2 linked regions of the Bombyx mori genome follow. The main gene of each other region encodes a partner of the protein of the gene in region 2 in a complex. Links are inferred from orthologs where the notes say so. Each region holds a gene or a part of one and is shown on either strand. Other genes may lie near its edges.

Evidence for each region. Proteins that work in one complex are often made in the same cells at the same time.
Region 1: ATP-dependent RNA helicase WM6 (region 2) and THO complex subunit 6 share a complex: the UniProt entries of both Homo sapiens proteins name them as parts of the transcription/export (TREX) complex. The link is inferred for Bombyx mori from reciprocal best matches to the Homo sapiens genes DDX39B and THOC6.

The regions. Positions count from the first base shown.
Region 1 is NC_085116.1:3,183,558-3,187,505, forward strand, and holds THO complex subunit 6, read right to left. Parts: upstream 2,758-3,948; 5' UTR 2,581-2,757; coding exon 2,477-2,580; intron 2,395-2,476; coding exon 2,005-2,394; intron 1,880-2,004; coding exon 1,717-1,879; intron 965-1,716; coding exon 644-964; 3' UTR 599-643; downstream 1-598. Other genes in the region: serine/arginine repetitive matrix protein 2, read left to right, coding at 3,587-3,825. UniProt on the Homo sapiens protein: Component of the THO subcomplex of the TREX complex which is thought to couple mRNA transcription, processing and nuclear export, and which specifically associates with spliced mRNA and not with unspliced pre-mRNA.
Region 2 is NC_085122.1:1,018,061-1,021,671, reverse strand, and holds ATP-dependent RNA helicase WM6, read right to left. Parts: upstream 2,378-3,611; 5' UTR 1,986-2,377; coding exon 708-1,985; 3' UTR 558-707; downstream 1-557. UniProt on the Homo sapiens protein: Involved in nuclear export of spliced and unspliced mRNA. Component of the TREX complex which is thought to couple mRNA transcription, processing and nuclear export, and specifically associates with spliced mRNA and not with unspliced pre-mRNA.

The sequences.
Region 1 (3,948 bases), on a different chromosome or scaffold from region 2:
AGGAATCGAACTAGTGATACCAATTAGACGTAAATAGGAGGCGATTGAACTTATGAGCTGTTTCAATTTGAGGCTGGAGCAAGTAACTATAATTTACACAAGTACCGACTGGGCGCAATTGGTTAAATATTGTTATCCAAAAAACTTTATTGATGTTTTAATGTTGCATACATGCATATTTTACATTGTCCATTAAAAGCTCAAAATATGTACAGGTGACTGAGAAAATGAAAAATTAAGTTATTTAAATATCCTAGAGTAAATTTTACTGAACTTATCATAATATTAGTAAATACTGTATATTAGTCGTCTATTATCAAAGGTGGCAATCTGTGCATTTGGACAAAAAAATGTTATTGATATGTCAATACAGATTGATTTGAATATAATAGTCTCCTTCAAAGAATACGGTTCAAAACCTGCATTAAATAAAGGTTAATACTTAACCTGTTATTTATCTAAGATGTCGCTCATAAGAGTTTTGTGACTACCAATGGAATACAAAGTCAATAATTCATTTTTCTGATTTACCAATAATTTTCCAAAAGTCACATTACCGGCTTTGATAATAGTCGACTCATATAATAAAACTTAGGTCTCGATTTAATTTCATTTAATTTTTTCCACCTAAATATGCTTATAACTATCGAAAATGTAAAACTTGATCTTTGTAATTAAGAGACGTGCACAAATCTATTTCTGGACTGGAACCGGCTAAACTTAACAGGGTGCTGTATTTAGTTCTTAGCACCGCACTGTATATGGTCGTGGCAGACACTGGTAGTTCTACTCTCACCTCACCCGAGTAGCTCATTTGGTAAAAATGTTTAGAAGTACCACCGGCAAACACACAGTCATCATGAAAGAATGACACATGAATCCCATTGTCTGGAATGTCAAAGACTGTCACTGCATCTAATGAACGAAGGTGCCACAGAGACAATCGAGGTCCACCACCGCATACCTGTAAATTTTTTATATATTCCATTATTAATTATCACCCAGGTGTTAAGTGGTTACCAGAGCCCATAGACATCAGTACGTTGTAGATGTCTATGGGCTCTAGTAACCACTTAACACCAAGTGAGCTGTGAGCTCGTCCACAATCTAAGCAATAAAAAAAATTCTACAATGTAAATGCGCCATCCATCTTGAGATATAAGTTCTAAGGTCTCAGTATAGTTACAACGGCTACCCCACCCTTCAAACCGAAACACATTACTGCTTCACTGCAGAAATAGACAGGGTGATGGTACCTACCCGTGCAGACTCACAAGAGGTCTTACCACCAGTAATTATGCAAATTATAATTTTGCAGGTTTGAGTTTCATTACACAATGTTATTCCTTCACCGTGAAATCAATTGTGAACATTGGTCAAGTACGTATTTCATTAGAAAAATTGATACCTGGCTTGTGGGATTCTAACATTGTTGCATTGCTAGATATGATTGCACCGGACATCTTATCCTTTAGGCCACAACGACTTCGACACAACTTTCCTTAGGAATGCTATTGATGGCTTAAGAGGGTTTTAAATAAAATAAATCGCCTTTTACAACACACACAGAAAAATATCAGTCACAATATTATTATGTAAATTCCCTATTAAACAAAAATAATTTTTTCACTGATTTTCATTTTTGTTTTTATTTTCACCTCTGGCATTTTAATGATAATATGTATGAATAATTAGATTGATGATAGATGAACTTACAATCCAGTCATCTCCAAGAGCTGCTGAGCCAATCCACTTGCCAATATCAGGTCTGCTGACCTTATTATTAGTGTGCGGTTCCAATTTATTGTGTGATTTTCCACTTCTAGTATCCCAAAGCATAACCAAACCATCTTCGCCTGCTGAAATAATCTGTTGGTTTCTGAAATTTTTTTTTAAATAACTTCTTTATTACTGTAATATTAGCCATAAGCATATATGTATATCACTGTCAGGGCAAATATATTAGCAGCTGAAATAAGGCAAATAAACAAACAAACAACTTACTTTCCATGAATAGAATGAATAAAATTATTATGTCCCTTATAAGTTGAAATAAGGCTCCCATCTTCCAAATTAAACACATACACATTATTGTCTCCACAACCAGCATACAGCTTCTCACTGTCTTGAGATAGCCACATGCAGTTCACATCGTTGTAGTCCAAAAAAGTTTGGGAAGGAATCTTTATGCTCCATACAGGTTTTGATAATTTAACAGAAACAACAGCCTTCCAGTCCCATCCGCATATTTCATTAACGGTACCAATTATAAGGAATTTTTCCGTTGAAACTAGACTACAAATCTGTTTTTTTGAATCTATAGAATGTATATGTTTTGGTTTGTTGTATTCAACAGATAATAATTCTAGTACTGGATTTAAAATACGATCTAGGCTGTAACAAAAATTTAGAATGAATTTATAAACCTCTCCAAATATTAAAATATACTTCTATAAATTTAATACAAATAACATACTCAAATACAGCAAGATCTCCATAAATATTGCCGGCCACTAAATATTTACCACACGGCGATAAAGTCTGAGATAAAACAGTGTTATACAACATTTTATTCAACATGGTAAAAGTTTTGTGTTTGCTCAGAAACTAGACTACTTCGTCAGTTTTTCTAGATGCCATGCAATATTTTAATTGAAAAAGAAACATAAACAACCATAGGTAAACAACACAATTTAAAGCTACATATAACCTCTATTTCGAATGCAGCGATTTTTTTGCGGCATACACTCTTTAGGCAAAGGGAACAGTGTCCATGCTCTATTTTAAAAAACCAAAATGATTTAGCTCTATAGCTCTTTATGACGAATTGAGATAAAATTAAGGCAAATTCACCCTGTATAAGAACAGAAATTTAGTAAGACCTAAGGTTATTTTTTTAACAAAGGAAGCTATATAGACGAAGCTATCTTTCCACAAATCAACTTAATAAATCACGTATTAATTTATTGACTCATTACTATTATAGGTTAGAAACATTTTAATAAAATGAAATAGGTACTTCACTTTACTCTTACTAAAACTCTTATTACACTATATTATTATGTACTCTTATCTAAAACAAAAATATTGTGGTTTTATTGACATTTGCCTAAGTTTCTTTTCATATATTTCATTTTGTTTGCCGAAAACTCATTAAATCATGTTACATGTATTATTTTTATTCAAAAATTATGCTTTTTATCTTATTGTTTAGCGATCTCAAAATAGAAAAGTTATTCTAAAGTTCCAATTGATTTGCTTGACTTTGTCATTGTCAGTTAAAAACTATAGATAAAATGAAACATCTAAATTCATAGCCATTTCGTTGTCTATGAATAATTCAATCTAAAAAAATCAAAACCAAGCAAGATGGTCGTGTTCAATTCTTTTTAAACATAAACATATAATCTAATAATATTGTGAGTTATTGATCATTAACGTTGATACATTTTTTGAAAGAGAAATTGTTATTTATAGATTATTTTACTAACTTTTCTGGGAGTTTCTAATCTCGTGGCCTAATTCAGAACCTTCAATTTGCACACCGTAAGTGTTACGATTGGTTTTAGGTATATAATACGAAATAATGTATAATGGGATCGGGTTGACGACGCCACGGGGCTCCGGTACAAATGGCTACGTACAGAGAAATTGGGCCACGGTAAGAAAAACAAAAGACTCCGTCAACTACCGGACTGAAGATGAGATCGCCAAGTTGGATTCGGCGTCAAACAAACAACCAAATAGAGAAATACTCGATCATGAGAGGAAAAGGAAGATTGAAGTCAAGTGTGCAGAGTTGGAAGATAGCCTGGAAGAACAAGGGTGAGTAGTTAGCATAAATACAACAAATACACAGAAATCGGATTCATGGTATTGGAGATTTGTTCCGGGGATGGTCTCTTAAATTTTTATGATATGAGGTTGGCACACGTTGGGCTTTATAAA
Region 2 (3,611 bases):
CCAGTTTATATAATAAAAAAATCTTTGGACGTGTTTCTAATTTAGTTTAATTAAATCAATATAGTGTAGGCAGACAATTATAGATTTTGATTTTGTAGTGGATACCAGTTACTGGACATGGGCCTTCTGTACTTTTCAGTTAAAACTGGTCGCGTTCCTGTATAATTATCCTATAGCAAGGCTCTAAAAACAGTAATTTCTTGAAACTACTTGCACCCCACCTCTCACACTGTACGTAGGTACTCTAAATTAAATTATGGCTTGTTTTATTCTGAAGTTTTTAGGCATGAAATTTTATCCAAATGCATCCAGTAGTATTTGTGTGAAGTATTAACATCCAATATCAGTAAATTTTGCATGTCTAAGAATATAAAAATATGAAGTCATAAAGACAAAATGATATGTTCAAAATGGATATTTTGTTACATTAATATGAACATGGTCAAAATAAATATATCAATTTCCTGTCTACATTCTAAAGTTAAACATATCACAGCCTGTCTTACTGATAACGATGAAAGCTCCCAAATTGTTGGTAAAGAAATAAAACACTCAGATATCACAATATGAAATGTCACTTTAATTAGATAAACCTAGTTAAACAGTAAATGTGGCTCAATGTATTACAAATCAATGTTAAAGCAGGCCAGTCTAATTACCAACAAAATGAGCCACAGCAGTAAATAGGTATGGGAATGAAACTTAATCTATCGTCCTTCGATGTAGGTAGAGAGCTCAATTTCTTCAGGCAGCTCTGTAATGTTCACATCGAAACGATCTTGTACTTGGTTTAAGATCTTGGCATCATTTTCATCAGATATCATAGTAATGGCCAGACCTTTGGTACCAAACCTTCCTGCGCGGGCGACACGATGTAGATATGTATCTGAATCTTCAGGCATGTCATAGTTGAAGACAATATTTACCCTTTCAATGTCCATTCCCCGGCCAAACAAATTTGTTGCAACCAGGATCCTTTTTTGGAAGTCCTTGAACTGTTGATAGCGGGAGAGACGCTCATCCTGGGTCATATTTCTGTGGATACCAATGGCAGGGAAGTTTTGGTCGGTGAGCAGTTGTGCCAGAGCTATGCAGCGCTGTACTGATTTCACAAAAATAACCACCTGATTGAACTCCAATACATCAAGTAGTTCGAAGAGTTTTTTATTCTTCTCATTTTCTTTTAGTTTCACATAATGTTGCTGCAGTCCATGTAGCTTGAGTTTGGCTTCATCATCTACATAAACTTCCATTGGGTCTTGCATAAATTTCTTACACACAGGTCTGATTTCTTTACTCAATGTGGCTGAGAACATCATCACCTGTTTCCCGTGAGGAGTGTTCCGGAATATCTCCTGCACATCTCGCCTCATGTCTAGAGATTCCAGCATCTTATCACACTCATCAAGGATGAAGTGTTTTAAATGTTTCAAATTAAGTTTCTTACTGTTTACTAATGCCAAAATTCTACCGGGAGTTCCCACTACAATGTGAGGACATGCTGTCTTAAGGACTTCCTCGTCTTTCTGAATTGGCATACCACCAAAGAATACTGATACTCTGACTCCTGACATATATTTCGAGAAACGCTCGTACTCCTTACTTATTTGGAAAGCCAACTCTCTGGTGTGGCACATTACAAGCACGTAAACGTGGCTCTCGGAGGGTTCCAGCTGCTGCAATGTTGCCAAAACAAACACGGCTGTCTTACCCATACCGGACTTGGCTTGGCAAAGTATGTCCATACCGAGGACGGCTTGCGGAATGCATTCGTGTTGAACTTCGGAAGGATGCTCAAAACCGCAATCAACAATAGCGCGGAGTATCTCTGGCTTAAGTAAGAAGTCTCTAAAACCAGAACTGTGGATGGATACGTAGGATCCTTTAACCTCCTTCTTTGGCGCCACTTCGGTAGACCCGTCAGCAGTCTGTTGATCTGCTTGTTCTTCATCTTCGTAGTCGAGAAGATCGTCGTTGTCAGCCATGATTTACTTTAGTTTAATTAGCTTGTTTACTGTATCGTACTCACTGTGAGCACGTGAAATTTATTTTTACAATACGATTTCACAATAATGGCGGCTTCGGCTTTTTTGGCGTCAATCCAAACTTTTTTTGTTATGTTTGACAGTTAAATATGACGTGCCACTTGGCTTTTTCGCCACTCAACAGTTTACGAGAATTAAATTTGCAATTTGATTTTTGATTAATTTGAAATTTTATTTGTGTAAAGTAAAAAGAAGAACACAGGCGAACAGCTATAATGCAATCATAGTTTTTATTTTCACGTGAGCACGTGAATAATATGTCTTTTATATGATTTTTTTCATGTCATATTATTTTTTGAAATGACCCATTTTATGAGTATTTAAAAATGAAATACTTAGAGCAGTGATTATCAAACTTATTTCTTTTACCGCCCCCTTTGAATATCAATTATTTTTCAGCGCCCCCCATTTTTTATACACCCCTAAAACTTTAAAACCACAATTTCATTAATTTAATTAATAAATGTTGTATTAATTTTATTAAATGTAGTACCACGTAGTACATATATATTTGTAGATGCTATTATTGTTTCTTCATATTATTATATGTCCGTACATTGCTACAGAGCGTGTATTTACAAATTTGCAAAGTAAAAATGAATTCTTCTCATCAATATGTTTGTTTAAATTCAGAATTACCAAAATAAATTGCTAGTTCACTGTACTATTACTATGCTAATTTATTAGAACGAAACTATTTTTGTTGAATATCTTTCTCATTAATATAAGATTCTCATCATAAGATAATTAAAAATTTATATTTCGACTAGTAAATAATACTACTAACAATAATAACTTATTAAACTACGAATAAGCTAAACCTGGAAGACGTAGAGGATTTCATTTATCTGGGCTCCGTCATAGCTAGTAATGGAACCTCCGAAAAGGACCTCAGAAGGCGAATCAGTATGGCAAAGAGGGCTATGTTCCAAATGGACTGTGCTTGGGTGGCATTTTTTTCTACGGCGCAGAGACTTGGACCCTCAAGAAAGCCGACCGCCAACGCATCGACGCGTTTGAGATGTGGTGCTGGAGGAAAATGCTCGGGATTCGTTGGACAGAACACAGAACCAACGAATCCATTCTTACCGAGCTCAAGATTCCAATGCGCCTCCGCACTACATGCGCGCGGAGGAGTTTAGAGATCTTTGGACATATCGCCAGAAAGAGAGGTGAGAATCTGGAAAAGTTGCTGGTAACAGGCAAGGTATGCGGGAGAGGGCACAGAGGCAGAAATCCAATGCGCTGGTCGGACCAAATACGCTCCACTCTCAAAACTTCAGTCCACGTTGCTATCCATACAGCCGAGGACAGGCAGGAATGGCGCAAGATGATGCAGGAGAAAGTTATTAGAGGAGGCCGCGACCCTCAGCACTGAGGATTATCGACGCAAGAAGGAAGGAAACTACGAAAAACAAATTAATATCATTTCGTATTATAGATAAATATGGGTAATTTTTCATAGAATTTTAGTTTATAATTTAGAACTGGTTCAAATAAAAACCGCCACCTAAGTCAGCGTTTTTATTATTTGTAATAATTAATATCTGTACTAATATTATAAAG